3 linked regions of the Styela clava genome follow. The protein of the gene in region 3 binds, or shares a complex with, the protein of the main gene of each other region. Links are inferred from orthologs where the notes say so. Each region holds a gene or a part of one and is shown on either strand. Other genes may lie near its edges.

Evidence for each region.
Region 1: pre-mRNA-processing factor 6-like (region 3) and thioredoxin-like protein 4A share a complex: the UniProt entries of both Homo sapiens proteins name them as parts of the U4/U6-U5 tri-snRNP complex. The link is inferred for Styela clava from reciprocal best matches to the Homo sapiens genes PRPF6 and TXNL4A.
Region 2: pre-mRNA-processing factor 6-like (region 3) and peptidyl-prolyl cis-trans isomerase H-like share a complex: the UniProt entries of both Homo sapiens proteins name them as parts of the U4/U6-U5 tri-snRNP complex. The link is inferred for Styela clava from reciprocal best matches to the Homo sapiens genes PRPF6 and PPIH.

The regions. Positions count from the first base shown.
Region 1 is NC_135251.1:10,687,113-10,693,784, forward strand, and holds thioredoxin-like protein 4A, read left to right. Parts: upstream 1-2,372; 5' UTR 2,373-2,498; coding exon 2,499-2,927; 3' UTR 2,928-4,850; downstream 4,851-6,672. UniProt on the Homo sapiens protein: Plays a role in pre-mRNA splicing as component of the U5 snRNP and U4/U6-U5 tri-snRNP complexes that are involved in spliceosome assembly, and as component of the precatalytic spliceosome (spliceosome B complex).
Region 2 is NC_135258.1:4,509,103-4,515,774, forward strand, and holds the start of peptidyl-prolyl cis-trans isomerase H-like, read left to right. Parts: upstream 1-3,268; 5' UTR 3,269-3,394; coding exon 3,395-3,454; intron 3,455-3,880; coding exon 3,881-3,969; intron 3,970-4,922; coding exon 4,923-5,010; intron 5,011-6,251; coding exon 6,252-6,347; intron 6,348-6,672. Other genes in the region: guanine nucleotide-binding protein-like 1, read left to right, coding at 764-2,593. UniProt on the Homo sapiens protein: PPIase that catalyzes the cis-trans isomerization of proline imidic peptide bonds in oligopeptides and may therefore assist protein folding. Participates in pre-mRNA splicing.
Region 3 is NC_135256.1:6,263,057-6,269,728, forward strand, and holds the start of pre-mRNA-processing factor 6-like, read right to left. Parts: upstream 3,768-6,672; 5' UTR 3,688-3,767; coding exon 3,590-3,687; intron 2,167-3,589; coding exon 2,001-2,166; intron 763-2,000; coding exon 550-762; intron 1-549. UniProt on the Homo sapiens protein: Involved in pre-mRNA splicing as component of the U4/U6-U5 tri-snRNP complex, one of the building blocks of the spliceosome.

The sequences.
Region 1 (6,672 bases), on a different chromosome or scaffold from region 3:
GTGAGATGTTGAGTAATTAGTTATACGACAATTCTTTTGCATTCTTTGTTTCGATTTTTTTTTTAAATATTTATCACGGTGGAGATGAAAACCGATGGAACGACTTGATCGTGTGACGAGTCAGGATACGAATCTAGGCCCGGTTTTTAAACCATTTTTCCGTATTTATGGTGCCTACGTGAACTTTTTTGCTTCTTTCGAGGAATTCTTCGATCGTCGAGTATTACAAGGCAAAACATTTGCATTACCAGACATTAGTGCTTTCTGTGGTTTCCCAATGTCTAATAATTTATTTTTACATAGTGTACAAAACTGCAAAACGTTTCATTTAAAAATTCAAATAAATATCATCATATTAACGGACTGTAATGTTATGAAGCGTTTGGTAATATTAAAATAACCATCGAACTAATCTTGAATCATTTTTACAAAGCCCCGGCCACTAATGCAAAAATGTGAGATTTGAGTAAATCCCCCGCAACGTGTGAATAATATGATATGGAGGTTGGGGTCAGAATTGATTCGAATATCTAAATTTCCTGGGTAATTTGCATTCCTAACCCAAACCCCCAGCGGATAATTACTAATTTCCTTATTTTAATCGTTGGTGGGGGTGATTTTTGTTGGGGTCTTTGTACAAAAGAAACCCAATTTTAACTTCTTTTGCCATAAAGATTGCGGTATCATTGGTATTTCGTCCATTAAATATTCAAAGAAACGGGCGACCAGGAGCTTTGGAGGTATGGTGGTCAGTGAATGCGCGCTGGCGCGGGACGCAGTTCAAGTCAACACGGTCAAGAAAATAGATAGGCGGTGTCGATTACTTTGTGGACTTCATTTAGGACGATCTTAACAATTACGATACAACGCTTCATTTTGTCTGGTAATTTGTCTAAAGTTGATGCTGACTGCTTGTTGAATAACTGAATCCGATAGTTAGAACAGCCTGAGATAAAACGGTAGGCAAAAACTCGGCTTCGAAAGTTCGATTTGTGTTGTTTTAATTCATGCCACGAGGATGAAATAAAATGATTGATCGTAAACTAGTGGTTAGTGCCCATGATTTTGTCGCAAAAGACATTAACTGCGCCTACACTACGGCTATTTCCAAAGAACTGGAAAGAACGAGAAAACCAAGATAGGCCCGGTCGAAAAGCGGCAGCTGGCGATCAAATTGAAATGCGACTAGATTACTTATGGTTAATGGAAATTCCTTCATAGTGAAAGCGGATTTTTTTTATAATCTCAGTCATGGTATACACGTACGAAGAATATTTCATTGAGAAGGCAACATATAAAAGATATGACGAAAAATATACCTAAAAATTATGACAACTTCCATGGCGAAGCAGGCAATTGCCAAACTTGACGAGTCACAATAGTGTTCGTTTTTTAATATAAGTTGTGGATTCAATTATACCAAATTTGTATAATCTCATTATTAAACATTGTGAAATAGTTTTTTTTATGATGTGTCTTAAATTTCACGAGTGGCTGATTCTGTACTCAGCATTGCCATATTCTAGCAATATTTTAATTACTGAAAAAACGGGTGAATGATTAACCATAAATTGTGTAATAGTATTTCCCTTTGTTTTATGGAAACCAAGATATCGGCTTGAACTAACATATTTCATTCTGAAAGCAACGCATAAAAAGTTATGTCGAAAATTAATCATGGAATAATATGGCAATAGTCGGAGCGAAAAATCAGTTATTGGCCGAATTTTACATGTCCCTATATGTGAACATTTATTCGAATACAAATAAAACTCAAACTTTGGTAGAAAAATACGTTAAAAAACGATGTGCCTAGAAGAATACTTGATTTCACAAGTTCTGGTTTTAGGATGACACCACAGAGAATAATGACACCAAAGAGAAAATACTGCGCTCGCCCGTATGAAACAAATGGCGACCCCGAGTGACGATATTGGATGGACTAAAAAATTCAGAACGTTTTAGATACGTCGTAACTTCTGCCTGTTATCTTTTGTGTACCGGTAAGGAAACTAATACTGGTGAACTGGTATGACTGTATGATAATTGATGAAATGTCTGCCTACTCTGCAATTTGTAATTTTAATCATTTTTTAGCTAGACAAGATTCTTGGTGCGATATTCTCTCTCATTTTGATAGGGTGTGGTTTGTATTTGGTTACCGGTAGTGCAAACTGCAGTACCGGTACGGTACTGTCATTGTTAAAAATTTTGATAAATTAAATTGGCATTATTCAATAGGCAGATATATCATGTTTTGCAGAACACAGATTCTATAATACAGGAGTAGGTACCGGTATCAGATTTGAAGCTTGAGACATTCTATGCGTTTCCGTTATTCCTTTTTTTAGGCAATGCATATTTTTGTTTCTTCCTAGGTTTTTCTAGTTTAATATCAATAAAAAGCAGAGCAAATATAAAGAAATTCATCATTTTTGTGTCTCTGAACTGCATAGTTAAATTTTCTGGACCTCCAAGCGTAAAAAACTTCGAGCAATATGTCTTATATGCTTCCTCATTTAACAAATGGTTGGCAAGTAGACCAGGCAATCTTGAGTGAACAAGAGAGAGTTGTTGTCATTAGATTCGGGCATGATTGGGATCCAGCCTGCATGAAGATGGATGAAACGTTATACAGCATCGCTGACAAAGTCAAAAACTTCGCCGTTTGTTATTTAGTGGATATCACAAAAGTACCGGACTTCAACAAAATGTATGAATTGTACGACCCTTGTACGACTATGTTTTTCTATAGAAATAAACACATTATGATTGATTTGGGAACCGGTAATAATAATAAAATTAATTGGCCTATGGAAGATAAACGAGAAATGATCGACATTTTGGAAACTGTTTACAGAGGAGCAAGGAAAGGCAGAGGTCTTGTCGTTTCTCCTAAAGATTATTCAACAAAATACAGATATTAATTTCTTTTAAATTGTTTCAAAGCGAGCTCAAGAATACTTATATGTGAACGGAATATATTAAAAAATAGCTTTGTTTTAATATGTGTGAGGGACTACACCAAAATCTATTTCTACATATTTCACAAAAGTATGGTTTTCTACCAGTGTCTCTTAGAGTAGGCTGCCACAAATTGCCTAATTTTGACAAATTATTTTCACATGGGACAGGAGTATTGTGTTTTGCCAAAGCATTCATGTTTTTTTAAGGCACTTTATTAAGGTACATGTTCTATTATTTTTTTTAATTTTTTTCCGCGCAAGTATTGTTTATTCCCAATAGCAAAGGGCGTAAAATCAGTCAAACTTACAGTAATCTGCGACGATAAGTTTGGCCTTTTGCCAGGTATTGAAAATGTCAAGAGTTGTCAAGACAAACTGTCAATATTATATCTGTTGTTCAAACATTATGTTTGTGTTCACCCCAGAAAAGGGTTCCAAATTTCGTTTTCAAATTTATTTAATTGATGTCTCTGGTATCTCTAAGATTCTACAAAAATAAACTGTGGCAAAATGTCTCAATAATATGTATATGAAATGTATGTTCAAAAAACTTAATTTTAAGAATGCAAATGAAGTAAAATCACATACCAGGTGAATGAATGAATATTTCTGCAAAGATATGTTTGGCATTTTGTGATTATTCTCATATTTCGGATTGTCGAAGTTGTCAGTATTAAAAAATCTGTCATCATGAATGTTCATATTTGAATTACTTGTAACTAAGTGATCGTCTATTCTGACAGATTTCAATATAATATTTATGATATTAAGGTAAATTCATCCATATTCAGAAACGTGGGCAGTGGGATAAACTATAAAAATGTTTATTAGTTTCAATTCTTTATTAGCAATTTGAATTGATTATGAAATAGCCATTCAGAATTTAAATTGGAGAATATTTTTAAGATAACTACTACCTACTCTGAACATATAAATTCTGAATTCATCGAATATTCACTTTTACTTAGTATAATTTAAAATGTGGCATCATCCTTGTTTCATCAGAAAGGTTTTGGGCGGTATATTTGATTACTGACTAGTTTATTTTCTGTTTCTGCTGAATTTCTGTGCTTATGAAACCCAATTTTTTCATATGTTTATATTTTAAATTTATGTAGAAACATTAGGTAAAGGCATAGGTTTCTGACTCTGGAATGACTCCTAGGGTAACAAACCGGACAGGGTAACAAACCGGTCGAAATGCCTAATCTCGAAAAAGTTATTTATTTGCATATGCTAATTAAGAACCTCACAGTAGAATTCGACTGAGTCAATGTGTGAATTATGTATGATGCGATTAAAATTTATTTCTTGTTTTGAATATGATGTCCATGCTATTTTTTTGGTTGGATATAAAGTTTATATATTGTCTCATTCAACACTGATATTTTGTTGAACACACACAACTCACTCTTACCACCAGTGTTGGAAGAAAGTCCCAAAACTTCGAGTTGCAGGTCATGGGTCATCTGAGTCGATCACTGAGCTATGTTTCACTGATGGTTAGTTGGAAGTTTGGGACGAATCATTTATTTCGAATGACTTTAATCACTGTTCAGGTGAAAGCTGACCTCTATGACCGTATGGGCATATCACTCCCTCCTGTCCATACCAAAACAATTTTATTGCTGTTGCTATCTTATTGATGACTGTATTTTTTGGACAAAATAATATTCTCTCTCTCGCTGTTATATGGTGACTTGAAACAGAACTGTGCCAATTGGGCCTCTATTTTTCGATTGACTAAATAATAAATCTCTCGCTCTTATAGGGTGACTCGAGTCAATGAATCGAGCTACTACAATACTGCTCTTTTCTATTTATGCATCATCCACTTGCAATTTTGTAAAATAAATACCACTTTACACCAGTCTATGTACTTGACATTGATGTTTTTTGTGATTTTTGTAACAAGTGGTCATTTAGTGGTGTCTGAAAATGTGGTGTTCCATTTTGCTACACCTATCTCACTGTCATGACTTAGGGTTAAGTGAGCAAATGAAATTCTGAGTGAGAACATATGTAATACTTAGGCAAAGCGTTAGAACAGTGGTTCAGAATTTGTCACATCTCGCGCCCCACCTCAAAAAATAGCTAGCTAACAATAAGCTACAAATAACAGATAGTAAGGCGAAAGTATGTTTTATTCAAAAAATACTTGGATGGAACTTAAATAATGAAATAAATGGAAAGTTTTGAAATTTAAATATACAAAATAAGGCGGGCAAGATCAAATCTAAGTAATATTTTTATTTGGCTTCACGTCCTCTCAAAAAATTGTCTACGTCCTCCTTGTGTGGCGCGCCCCACCGTTTGAGAATCACTGAGATAGAGTGTTTATATGCAGTGATATTCATACAATTAATATTGATAATTAATACAAGTCCTTGAAGGGACATTTTTGAGGCATGTAGTTGGGAGATTTGTGTGCGTCTAAAATCATACATAAATTGCACAAAAATCTGTGTTATTTACTATTACTAGTTGATTCATGTAGATCAGTGATTCCCAAACTGTGGTACGCGATGGTCTTACAGGTACATTCTTCACCAAATTTCTTTTTTCTGCATTTTTATTTGACCTAAAGGAGTCCTTAGTTGAGATGGGGTATATCTTTTTGTTGAAGCTGTCGTCATCGTGGTGAGGTATTCCGTGGTAAAAAACGTATTTTTTCTTATCACTGCGACGTCTTATAATGTTTAGGATAGATTCGCCCTCAGCGCTAAGGTTCTTCCATCGAAGTTGTTATCGTGCTTGAACTTAATTATCGAAATAGTAAATTTCGTTCGTAAACTTCAGCTCTAAATAGTTGGTTGTTCACGGTGATTTGTGAACAGCAAAAACAAAACACAAGGATTGTTCGCGCAGCGAGATTCTCATCCCTGGTGATTTTCAAGTCGAAGAAATAAAACCACACTTATTGCGCGCGCGCTTCAATTTTGATCTGCTGTGAGCTGATGCACCGATCAGCTACCGGTAGTGGAAAATAAACGAATAAATGCAAGCTAAACAAATTAACTTTTTTGGCAAATGAACCCTTAGAATCCTTCTGTACACACCCAGAATCTTTCGACACCTATTAACATGGCTCATCGTGCTAAGGCTAAGGCTTATGAATACGCTCGCCACCGCACCTCTGATTACTCTGCGTGGGTTCGCACGTTCGAATCCCATGCGAGGATAGTTATGTGCGAGAGGATAGCTGGACTCCTCGCCGCCGTAGGGTGGTTCACGTAACCGATGGTCGGTTTCGGCTTCCTCTACCATCAAGTTCATGCTTCCGAAAATAAATACCTAACTAATGATCCAGCGTTTCCCAACCTTTTTGGTCGCGGGCTATTTTCTCACGGGTGAAAATCGTTGCAGACTCATAATGCATTAATTGTAATCGAAATCTTTGTGAAAAAGCAATTAAACCAAACACAACAGAATTTTAACGAAGTCAGTTTATTAACCACATTTACAAATTTTAATGGGAGCCTTGTTTGTCCCTGAACTTGCACCACTAGTTTGTCGAAATCTGGGTATATTCGTCAATGCACATGCAAGGGCGCAGCCAGGATTTTCAAAAGAGGGGTTTAAAATTGGAAATTTCCATTTTCTAGAACAGTCGCCGCGATTACGCGTTTGTTAAAAGAGCCGACTTTTCAGCGTATAATGACTTTTCTGTCGCTTGAAATATTAAATTCTTGACAACAACAAGAAT
Region 2 (6,672 bases), on a different chromosome or scaffold from region 3:
CAAAAGGGCCAAACCTTGAAAAACTGTTTTCAGAAAGTTGGGAAAAAATTTTCGATTTCGAAACTCCTGTACTCTAACTTTTTATTGAAATAATCTGCAAAATATTGCTGCAAACTGATTAAACACCGGTACCGGTACCTAGTCTACTGAGAAAGCACTGTTATTTTTTATATTTTCATTTTGTAACAAAAAGCCAAATTTTGATGTCAAAATTTTCAATTTTGGAGTTGTATGGTAAACCACAGCCTCTCGTCCGGTTACCATTCCATGTCGGGTGTGGAATTCTAGAATTAGCCTAGTTATTTCAGTATTTGTTTTCGGAAGCATGGACTTGATGGTGGAGGAAGTTCTGAAGTTGTAACCGACCAGCGGTTACATGAACCACCCTACGGCGGCTAAGAGTCCAGTAGTCTAATCCTCTCGCACATTACCATTTGAACCTGCGAACACACACAGAGTAATCAGAGGTGCGGTGGCGAGCATATTCCAAATGCTTAGCACGATGAGCAACGCCCCCACGCCATATTCAATAGTTCAACATTTCCACCACCTCAATTATCCCAATAATTATTATGTCTCATTATTTAAACCTTGTTTGAAGATTTGGTAACTTTCCTGATATTCCGCACTGTGTTTGGCTTGTGTATTGTAATTATTTGCACCATGACGAAGTTCGTAATAATTTATCTTCTCTATCTCTTCGCTGCCTTAGGGTGGTTCACGTAACCGCTGGTCGGTTATGGCTTTCTCCACCATCAGGTCCATGCTTCCGAAAACAAATAACTGGCTAACTATATCTTTTTATCGCAGTCTTGTAGTCTACCTTTCAATGCCGAAAAAGAAACCATTTAGTGGAAAACAAAAAAAGAAACAACTTCAGGAAAAAAAACATAGAGGTGAAGGGTCATTGACCCGATCAGAAAACAAAGAAGCATGGAAATTACAAGATCAAATTGAGAAGTACGATTCCGACTGTTCTTCTGGAGATGGGAATCCCCATGCATTTGAAACTGGACGGAATATTCACGGTAAAGCGACGAAAAGTACGAATCCGAGAGACAGGTATCGACTGAATTTTCTTCGAGAATCGAGGGATGAAGTCGACAAGCGTAAATTGCAATCACAGACGGAATTGCTCATTCCGATTCCACCGGAAAAAATGGAAATGAGTATAGAAGAGGTTTATCAACCTGGTTCGGAATTGGACATGCCTCAGCGGCCACATTGGGATTATCGTGATTCAAAACAATTATTAGAGCAACGTGAGGAAAAATATTTTTCAACATATCTTGACAATCTGTACTCCAAGTTTGAAGACAAAAATCTCAGTTATTTTGAACACAATTTGGAAACGTGGCGGCAACTTTGGCGTGTGATTGAGATGAGCGATGTCATAGCAATGGTCGCTGATGTAAGGCATCCAGTGCTCCATTTTTCTCCCGCATTGTACAACTTCGCCATTCATGTTGTCAAAAAACCTTTAATACTGGTTTTAAATAAAATCGATCTGGTTCCAGCTCCTGTTGTGATTGCCTGGAAAAAATACTTTGAAAAGAAATTTCCTGAGCTGCATGTTATAACTTTTACTTCGTTCCCAAAAAATTTACGAGGAGACGCTGCGGAAAAGCGAATTAGTAAAAAACGACCTGTTGGAAAACGTGTTTATACCACGCAAATAGGTCCGCAAGATCTGCTACAAGTTTGCAAAAAAATTTGCGGAGACAAAGTTAATCTTGAGAGCTGGGAACAGAAAATATTGAATGACCTTGAAGGTCTAAATTGTGACCTTGAACCAGAGATGAATATTGAAGAAGAACATCAAACCTCTGAACAAGGTCCAGAAAGTAAAGAGTTGTTTAAAAATGGCAGACTTACTCTTGGGTTTGTGGGTCATCCTAATGTCGGAAAATCATCGCTTATGAACGGCCTTATTGGAAAGAAAGTTGTGAGTACTTCAGTAACGCCAGGACACACAAAATATTTCCAAACGTACTTTTTAACTCGTGACGTAATGCTATGTGATTGCCCTGGTCTTGTATTTCCATCACTTGTGCAAAAACAAATGCAAATTTTGAGTGGAATTTACCCAATTGCGCAAGTACAAGAACCTTATACTCCTGTGGGGTATTTAGCATCAAGAATTCCGATTGTAAAGCTATTAGGCATCACCCACCCTAATGGTGAATCAGAGTGGACAGCTTGGGATATTTGTGAAGGATGGGCGGAAAAACGAAGGTTTTATACAGCGAAAGGACGGCGTACAGATGTGTATCGTGCAGCGAATAATATTTTAAGAATGGCTGTTGATGGAAGGTTATGTTTGTTCATGTTGCCCCCAGGATATGTCAAGGAAGAAAAATCTTGGATGGCTAATTCTGAAACGTTGAAACTTTTGAGTCTGGTCTCAGATCCTGGCAGTGTTGGCGATATATTAAGTTTTCATCAAATGTTTTCTCACCCAGAAATAGCCAGTTCTGAGCACGATACTCAAGATTCAAGCAGTGGCGAGGAGTCCGAATCTTCTCATGAACATGGGGACGGTGGTAAAGGGTTCTCTGTGCAAAATAAGTTTGCTTTACTAGGAGAGGACTGATGTTTAAATATTTCCACTATAAAAGACTAAAAATAGCATTTTTATGTTATAAGTGTGTGCATATGGAATTGGGCGATGACTTGTCAAATTTTATGTGACTTTTATGGTGTACGGTGATTAAATTACTCATTTTTTTTTGTCATTTTGATTATTTAAAATGATAGCCAGATATCACCAAGATTTGGTTTCAGTATCAGTACTTAATTTCATAAGTTCATTGTATAATTTATTCATGCTATATATGAGATTATTTGCATGCTATTGTGACTGTTTTATTGGAGTTGTCCTGCCTATTGTAATCCCTTTTGCCTTAAATTGGTGTTTAACCTCGCATCAAGTTGTTGAATGGATAATACTGTATATCTATCTTATCATATTCTAGTAATTCCAATTCCTTTGCGATGGAAGTCTATACCTGATTCCAATTTATTATCTGTGCCTATGACATTGTAATGCCCTAACAGGTAGTTTGTGCGAAGCGAACAACGTATTTCATAGGATTAAAAACCGAACTTTTTGTGCCTACAACTACTAGAAAGCCTATGTTAAATAAAGGTGCGGTCCACGGTTTCACCCAGTTATTTGTATCTGGCTCTTCTGTGTTATTAAAGGTTGCACAATCCCCGTCCTAGATTTATACTTTTTTCTGTGGATGTCAAAAGTATTTGGTAATTCAACATATAAAATTGATACTCATCATTGGTAATCATCAATATTCGATCATTTTTATCATCGGTATGTTTTATTAATTTCAGTTAATATTACTATTTATATATTTGTATTGGCGGATTGTATCCCAAAATGAGTGTGAGGACTCCAGGCAATCCCATTGTGTTTTTTGATATTTCTATTAGTGGCCAGGTGAGTGAAAATACAAATAGACTCTACCTCTTTTATAAAAAATCTAGTTTTGCTTTTAACAGTCCCAGCTTGATAAACCCTGGTCTAGTAATATTACCAGTTTTATATAGTGTGTGTTTAGCATGTTTTTGTCCATAGAAAAGGCCATTGTCTGGTGCAGGGGTTCTTAAACTTTTATAACTCGCGCCCCCTTTCTAGAATTTGTCAAGTATCGTGCCCACCTCAAAAATACCTAGCTAACAATAACAGGCGAGATCAAATCTAACAACTATTTTTATTATAATTAGCTTTACGCCTCCTCAAAAAATTGTCCACGTCCCCTTGTGGGGTGCGCCCCACTGGTCTAGTGCCATTTTCAGAGCTTTCAAGAAAAGTATGTAGTCCTATTATATATTGTTTTTAAGACTATTCTATCATCTTTTCCAGGATGTAGGTCGAATGAAAATGGAGTTATTCAAAGATGTCGTGCCAAATACTGCGGAAAATTTTAGACAATTTTGTACAGGAGAATACAAGTAAGTCCAAGTAATAAAAGAAAGCAAGGTTATTCAACACAAATCAAATTTTGATTCGATTTGAAATCAATTACAATACTCAAGAATGTGGACAGTGATGGACACAAAGGTCCAATGACTCCCACTGAAATCATTATCTAATTCAGGGTGGTCCAAACCCAGGCCCGCAGGCCACATGTAGTCCGCCGCTTCATTATCTGTGGCCCGTGTCACATTCGGAGAGTAATCAAAAAATCGCATTTTGTGTTGTTTCGTCATAAAATTAATCAGAAAAATCTTTTGACATATTGTCATCACTGATGTCACTGAATTAAATAGTGTTATGGCTAGCAGGGGAAACTAGCGAAGTTGAGTGACGTGCTTGGCAGTCTAAATTGTTATCTGGCTTTCTAACTTTTTGGTCGGGAATATATGCTAACAATATATGCATCATAGAAAACTAAAAATCAACTGCAGATTCTATTAGCTAAGAATGGCTATGCCTGATAACTATGTGTTTGCACAATAAAAGTGTTTATTTTGTATTGCACTGTTTACCTATTTTTGGCACTATTGTGGCCCGCGAACAATGCAAAAATAATATTGTGGCCCGCGGAGCCAACAACCTTGGACCACCCTGATATAATTATTCAAAAGCTTCAAATCAAAGTTGCAAATCGAATACGACCTAACAGTTTGCATTAGTAAACCGGTACCTTTAGTGCACCAGTAAAGCCTTAGCTTAGCAGTGAGCACCGACTACGACAGAAAAGAAACTGACTGGGCTGATGTAATGCCATTTCGTGCCGCAATATTAGTAAAAATAGAACCCTAATTTTCAATAAGATGCATTTGTGGAAAGGGTTTTGTTGCATTTCTATTTGAAGTTGTAATTTTCGAGATACAGTTTTTACTCTATTATTTATTATCTTTTCATAATTTATGTAAATCACATTACTTCTAATTCTATTTAGAGTAGATGGGATTCCTATCGGTTACAAAGGAGCAACTTTTCATCGAATTATTAAAGATTTCATGGTTCAGGGAGGTGATTTTGTAAAGGTGGGAATGCATTTTAGTTAGTTTTTTGGATAAATTTATGTGGCCGAATTTATGTTTAATGTAGTCACTTAAAACCCAATTATTGTGAGTAACATGGTCGTGGAGAACGACCAGAAGTCAATGATTATGCTCATTTACTAAGAGGTAAACGAGACTAATGTCTTATCAAAGTTATGGATATCACTACTGTCTACCACAGGGGTGGCCAACCTTTCACATACCATGCGCCACGTTTTAAACATAATGTTTCAGATGCGCCGTAAATCTCTTGTATTCCCACGCCTAATGTCCGCTTCTTGCAACAGGCCTTTAGTATCAATATCTACTCTACTCTACCCTCGATTCTAATTGGCCTCTGCTAATCAGCTGTTTGGCCTAGCGTTGCGTGATTTTACTCCAGGCTTCTTCGAGATTAGTACTTACGTCACAGCAAGCGATTTTACGCTTCGCTTTTGTTGACAACGGTCTTTTGAAGTTTGTATGAAAAAGGTGGTATTTAGGGGGCATTTTCAGCATTGTTGTGGGTTGATTTATAATAAATTTTTTAGGCTTGGGCAATTCAACTGGTTGTTCAATGGTTATTGGGAGATATTTGGGAAGTCTGGGCAAAGGAAAATCCATGTTTCAAGCTGATAAATGACGATTTTCTATTTTTCCAGAAGTTCTGAACTTTTTACTTCAGTAGGGAAAAAATAGTAAATTTTACTAATTTTTGCTAAAAGTCTAGAATGAATGTCATAAAGTCCGTCCAAAAGCTAACGTCGATAATCGCCTGTTGTTTCTAATTCCAACAAGCCTTAAGTGGGCGACGTGGAGTAAGGAGAATAGATTTTAGGTACAATCAAAAGTCACCATGTAAATCGCAAAAAAACGACTTGGCGTCGAGAAGCCAAGTGCAATTAACAATTTTGGCATGAAAAGGGTTAAAGATGCAATGCGCCACCTCTAATCATGCAATGCGCCATGTTTGCCGCATGCGCCATAGGTTGGGCACCCCTGTTCTACCACCTGCTGAAATTGTATATTTCCTCAATATTTTTTCCTGTTATTTGATATTTCAGATATTTGGTCCTCAAAAATGTTCAGAAAATATTTTTCTTTTGAGTTGATGAGCATATCTTTGCATTGAGTAAATTCTACAGGACAAAGACCATCCTCACATCCAAGATTGCAGGCTTTGGTCCTCACATCAACTTTGTTTTCCTCCTTGATAACCATTAATGTCCAATCCATATTTCCAGGGAGATGGGACAGGCCTCACAAGCATATATAATGGCATCAAATTTGCAGATGAAAATTTTAAAGAAAAGCATACAGGACCAGGATTGCTATCAATGGTGAGTTTCAATATCATCCACATAATAAAAAGAAAGGATTTTCGTGGTGTATGATTACTCATGCGATTTGCTTAACATGTTTTGTGCTTTGTCGGGTGGTGGTTTGAGTTAGTCAATAGCGGAAGTCGCTAAACGAGTATACGTGTATATTTCTTGCAAACAGGGGTTCAAGAACACATTAGTTTTCACATAACACCACTTTCAAAAGAGTGATTTCCCTAAACTAGGGGTCGACAACCTACGAGTAACATAATCCGGCCCGCGGCGCTTCACTGAATTATAGTAACAAAACAGCTATTTTGACGATTATATTTTTTACGTTACA
Region 3 (6,672 bases):
TATGCTTGGTTCCAGCTCCCCAACACTATCTGCTGGTGTATTTCATTTTTACTGTGATATGACTATTAAAAATTCGGGTCTCGTGTAGTTTTGTACCCCAAGTTCTTCTAGTGGGCGTAGCATAACGATTTTTGCACACACTTTTTAACTATTTTAAACTTGGAATCAATTGAATAATTTCTGGTAGCTTCAGCTCGTCTATTATGGTAAGCTTGGCTCCAGCGCCCTAATTCTATCTGCCGGTGTATTTTATTTTTACTGTGATATAACTATCAAAAATTCGGGTCTCGTGTAGTTTTGTACCTCAAGTTCTTCTAGTGGGCGAAGCATAAAGATTTTTGCACATCTCAATCCTAACCCCCACCGTCGTGATGATGTAATTTTCGGATGACATAGTCAGGTGGGGGTTAGGATTAACATAATGAAGAAATTGTTATGCTACGCCCACTAGAAGTCCTTCAGGTACGAACTACACTAGACCCAAAAACTCTTAGTCAATCTAAGCCACTCATGTATGGTTTTTAAAAGAATGAATTTTTGAGATCCTACCACTCCAAGTTTTCTTTTCAAGTCTGAGAACATTTGTTGAATTTTTGGTCTTTCTTCACGAAATTTTTCCAGTTCTTCTCGTTCCCTTTCCTCTCTATATTCCTTCCTTCTTTCGTCCATTCTCCGATCGAGATGATCATAAACAGCATCTGCTTCCTCATCGTCTTTCTCGTAAGGAGCAGATGCAAATAAATTTCCTCCATATCCAGTAAACTGAAATACAGATTGTGTTTTAGAAACAGGAGTATAATAGAGTCGTTACTCGTTACATAAAATATATTAGGACAAGTTAGGTCGCGTTTTCTTTTTTACTTAAATAATTCCTCTGTGGTTCTCTGTGTGTGTGGTGGGTGCGTGTGTGAAATAGTTTAATAATTTTAGGTGGGTGAACACATACCAATTCTTCTTGGCAAAACCTTCCATCTTATATTTTGTATGTTTTAAACCTTATCTAAGGTTTTGTTCGCTCTCCTGATTCCACAATCATTTTTTTTATTTGTTTTTATCAATCATTTTATTGTTATGCTGATTAAGGAGTCGAAATAAACTTATATAAAACGTTCAAGGTGTCAATAAAACATGCAATTTGCAGACGTTTTGAATTTCCATACAAACAAAAACTTCATCATAGCATAATATGTAAAAGTGATAACGTCTACATATATCATCGTAGTAAATTCAAACTAGTTTATGTCTTATTTTCTAGAAATGGATTTTGTTAGTCTGTAAAAGTTTCAACTGCAACAATACTTATAGAATAGGACTTACAGTACATATATATCCCGAGGAATAGGGAAGCCATAAGACAGACTAATCATATGGCATACCACAGCCTCTCGTCCGGTTACCAGTCCATGTTCGGAAGGAAGCCAGCAATCCTTCTCACACATAATCAACCCGCATGGCATGGGATTCGTACCTACGAACCCACGCAAGGTTATCAGAGGTGCAGTGGCGAGCGTAAACCTAATGCTTAGCACGCCATAATGCGTCATATAGCGATAAATGGATTTTTCATATTTATTTCAGGAAAGAATATAGTTGATAAGACAGCTCAACCATGTGTCAGATCACATCCTCTCGTCAAGCTACCAGTCCATGTCTAATATGGGAATAGTTAGCCATTTATTTGATAGCGGAGAAAGCCATAAACGACCAGTGCATTTTGAGTTTGTATCTCAGGTAAACATTTGAAAAAAAAGAAGGTGCTACCGTAGTATGTGAACCAAGATGGTGGACACCTGAACAAGTTAGGGTTAGGCAATAATTTTATGCCAATTTTCCTTATTTGAATTCTATTATGATTTCGGTGACCAGCCAAGTGACTACCGTAGTATTTGGACTTGAAATTATGGCACAACCCTAACCTGGTACACATATTACGTTATAGTGTACGCCATCTTGGTTCACATAGGGAGTGCCAAAAAGAAAGCAATTATTTCAATTGCTACCTCATCATAATTTGAGTCATTGAGATCTTCTTCTTCATCCTCTGGTTTCTTTGCTTTCATTTGATCTCCGAATGTTCGCTGGCCAGGAGGGGCATGGCGGTCATCTGTTGGATCGCTAACATCTCTAGCTGGACCAATATCAGATCTCGTAGTGAAACCTGTAGCTCTGAAAATATGATATAAAAGTTGTGAAAATAATTCATCTTTTTTTTATCAATGTTGAAGATAAAAAGTAAAAAAATTGAAAATGGGAATCCAAATGTTCCCAAAATTAAATATTTTATATCACGGAAGTTAACCAATTCCAAATAAATTATTTTGTACATTTCCGCTTAAGCCTTGAATGAAATTATCATTATCCTTGAAAAGATATTGTGTGTGACAGGAGTACGCAGGCCATGTAATCTGCAGATATTTTACATCGGGTCTTGTGTAGTTTCGTACCTCAAGTACTTCCAGTGGGCGTAGCATAATGATTTTTGCTCATGTCAATCCTATTCCTAACCCCAACCTGACTACACCATCCATAAATTATGTCACTACAACATTACATTCATGTCATACAGCTTGCAAAATTGTATGTACCATCGCTCAAAATGGCGTCAGCGCCAGGTGATAACAAACTCATTAACCCTATCAATCTCTCTCATATGAGGATTTTTGACGAGAAAAGGAGGGAACGTATATGACGTAACCCTCTCGATTTTGGGTGATCCCCAGCACATTCTGGACAGCTGCCCGAATATTTCGGCGGGCCTTATTACGTCACTGTGCCATCATAGTGATGTCACTCAGGATGACATAGTTAGGTGGGGGTTAGAAATGACATATGCGAAAACTGTTGAGCCATGCCTACTAGACATATTTGCACTATTAAACTATACAGGACCCAAAACAAGAATTGTAATAAAAAACAGGGAATTGTTTGCCACACCATTTTAATAACTTTATAGAAGTTGAAAAATTGAATATAGATTTTGTAAATAAGAGTAATCAATCAATCATTTATTTCGGTACTCTGACATAAAAACAAAACAAAACAGTAAACAATATTTATCATGATGTAAAAAAAAAGATTTCGTCGGGCTGATTATAGTCCAGTAGTTGTAGTGTAACTGTATAACTGACTGTTTAATCAGTGGTGGAATTCAGGGGGCTCGTGCGAACCCGTCCTTGGAGTGTCAAGATAATCAGCAAATTCGTTCTTGTTTTTTCAAAGCATAGTTTTAAGTTTGCATAGTTTTTCAAAATGGTGTTAGCAAGTTCTACGGTCTGACGGTACGCAATACAGGCCTGACCACACCAGCTAAAAATTACGTCACTACGAAGTCACAGTGACGTAATAGAGCCCTTCAAATTATGCGAACTGTCATCCAAGACACGCAGACGAGAACCCGAAATCGAACAGCCATTGCTCTTGTTTTCTCGTCCAGTCGTCGCAACGATCCCGATAGGAGAGAGACCCCAATACAGACAATAAAACCATTGGATATATTGGTTAAACTGTGAACTATTGAAACACACATACATGACGAATCATTCAATCATTAAAACAAACTGATGTCAATGCAATTAAATTAAAAACATACCCACGCCCGAGGCCAGGGACATATCCGGGGGGAGCTGGTTGCCCCAACCAAGGTTTCTTTTTTTTCTGTGTTTGTACAACGCCAGTTAACTCAGCCATTCAATTATTAGAATTGAACCTATTAGGTGCAGTATCTGTTCTATCTAAATTTCTGGAAGTAACAAAAAAATTAAATACTTAAATTCTGCCGTTTGCCTTTGTTGAGTAATCTTTCTTTTTTGTGCCAAATAAATTCCAATGACAAACGGAATTGAGACATCTTGCACACAGGTCGCAGTGCACCCCTCAGAATTCTCTTTTGAGCACTCCAACCTTTGAACCTATACTATCGCCCCACGAACTTTTCCAACCACAAGGCGGTTTGAGGAATGATTTTGTTTAATGTTCGCATTGATGGTAATATCAGAATATAACGGTATAAATACATTGAAAAAACAAAAAAAATGTGGAGTTATGACAATATAATTATAAGGTGTGCTGCTTCGATCATCGACTTTACATTACTAAAATGAAAGATGATTTGTTCGGAATTGCGAATGGTATCGTTCTCGGAATTTTATTTTCGACAAGAAAGTGGTGGTTATAAGCAGGAACAGATAAATTAAATACAGTGATTTTCTTCTGAAATATTCGAAGATGTTTCCATTCTAATATTGATGATTGTTTCCCACATGTATTATGGATTACTAATTATTTATTTACAATAAAAACTCCTAATCTTGCTAAATCGTCGGTGTGACGCGCATCGTGCTAAGCATTACACATGTCCTCTTAACTATTTACACATGCCCTCTGAACTATACAATAAATCTGATGTAAATTGTCGAATAGTAAAAAAAATTTATTTTAACAGCCGTCTCATTTTCTGTCTTTATTTTATAATTTCATATTGTCTACATAATCTGTACTGTTGTCCTTTTTAACATTGTTTTGTGGAAATAAAAATATTTCGCGTTACGAATACGCTCGTCACCGCATCTCCGATTACCCTGCGTTGGTTCGCAAGGTTCGAGTCCCATGCGGGGTTGATTATGTGCGAGAGGATTGCTAGACTCCTCACCGCTTTAGGGTGTAACCGGTTCGCCATATGATTAAGCCGTCTAATCGGCTTTCATCTTCTCCGAGATAAATGTGCAAATCCTATCCTAACTAGCAATATTGCTCAACAGCATTACCATTCAGCCGCCGAAATTTTAGTTGCGATAATTGAAATCCAATATTTTTCGGCTTAACAGATCAGGCGATGGAAACGCTCAAATCATTACGGTATCAACGAGCCCACAGGTGTCGTAAAAACATTTGTTTCTAATAATATGAAAGCAAATCAACAAAATTTCAAAGAATAGAACGCTGAATGATTTGCTAGGTAACATATGAATATGTTAATTAAATAGCATAACATTATTACAACAGTGATATCAATATTAAACTGAATAATACAAAGATTCTGTTATCGAATATTATTACTGTATAAGTAACGAAAATTCTCTGTCAAATGCGATATGTGACTTGCCCCAAACGTCAGCTACCATGCCTTTCTTTGAGTGTTGAATGGAATTACATATTCCCGTGACTCGGCGGTGGGCGCATCGTGCTAAGCGTTAGATAAACGATCGCCACTGCACCTCTGATTATCCTGCGTAGGTTCACAGGGTCAAATCCCACGGGAGATAGTTATGTGCGAGATTCTCTATTCCTCACCGGACTTTCGAATCACTGATTTCTTTTCCGGCTTGAATCAAATAATGTCAAATTATGTTTTTATCTGCAAGGCTTATGCATCAATTTTTATGTAATGCATTAGAAAGGAAAACGGACATATCAAAATTGTACAACTGAAATCTTGGTGGCTGAATTGTAAAGTATTCGATCAATATTATTAACAAGAGAACAATGCTCAAATATATCGACACGAAGTTCAACACGTACCGCAAACTGCCACAAGGTGAGCAATTTTCGATGACGAAATCGCACACAGAAACCGGTGCTCCCGAATTGGGTGCACAGGATGGCGCACAACCTGACCATAGTATATTGTGTACCAGGTTGGGGTTATCATGTTGTTGTTCGCCATCTTGGTGCACATACTTCTAGAGCGCCAAAAAACAAATCCCATAGAGCCCACAAAAATATTGAAATAAATTAAAAAAAATAGCCTTCTAGTGCAAAATACAATCTTTGAAAATTTTAAAGCATTTGGTCCAACAGTTAAATAGAAAGCGATTTTGACAGCAAAAAAAAGAAAAAAATACTAACAACATGATAATCAACAACAACATAATAACAAAACGATCTATAGGTCCATTTCGTGTCCAATAAACCGACAAGAAGATTTCAGCTTAAATAAGTAATTAGTAATCCTTAAAACATGTGAGAAACAGTCATTAATAATAGAATAAAAGCATCTTCGAATATTTAACAAGAGAGCTATGCTCAAATATATGGACACGTAGAGTCACATAATTTTGATGACGTCATAGCGAAAAAAAGTAATAGCCTTCTGGAGAAAATTTTTATCTTTAACCACTAAAAATTTCAAAGCAATTGGTCCAGTATTCGAAGAGAAAAGCGACTTTTTAAAAACGTGTCAAGCGGTACTGAGTTAGCAGTCAGGCAGCATCTTACCTGTACACTGTAGGCCATATACGGTAATTGATCACAGAACAGTTGTTCCCTTGCAAATTTTATGTTGTTTACACTTTAGGACAGATAATTGATCACAGAACAATTCTTCCCTTTCAAATTTTATGTTGTTTCCAGTAGACTCTCATCAAAATAAACAAATATAGTAGGCTACAAGTGCTACAACGCTTGCATTACTGCACTGGTAGGACCGTGAAAGAATAAGTTACGGTAATTTCATTGTGGTAAGACACCGGTACCGGCACCAGTACCAGTATCGTACTTACGTACTGAGCTACCAGTACCGGTTAGCAGTCAGCCAGCATCTTACCTGTACACTGTAGGCCATATACGGTACCGTAATTGATCACAGAACAGTTGTTCCCTTGCAAATTTTATGTTGTTTACACTTTAGGACAGATATTTGATCACAGAACAATTCTTCCCTTTCAAATTTTATGT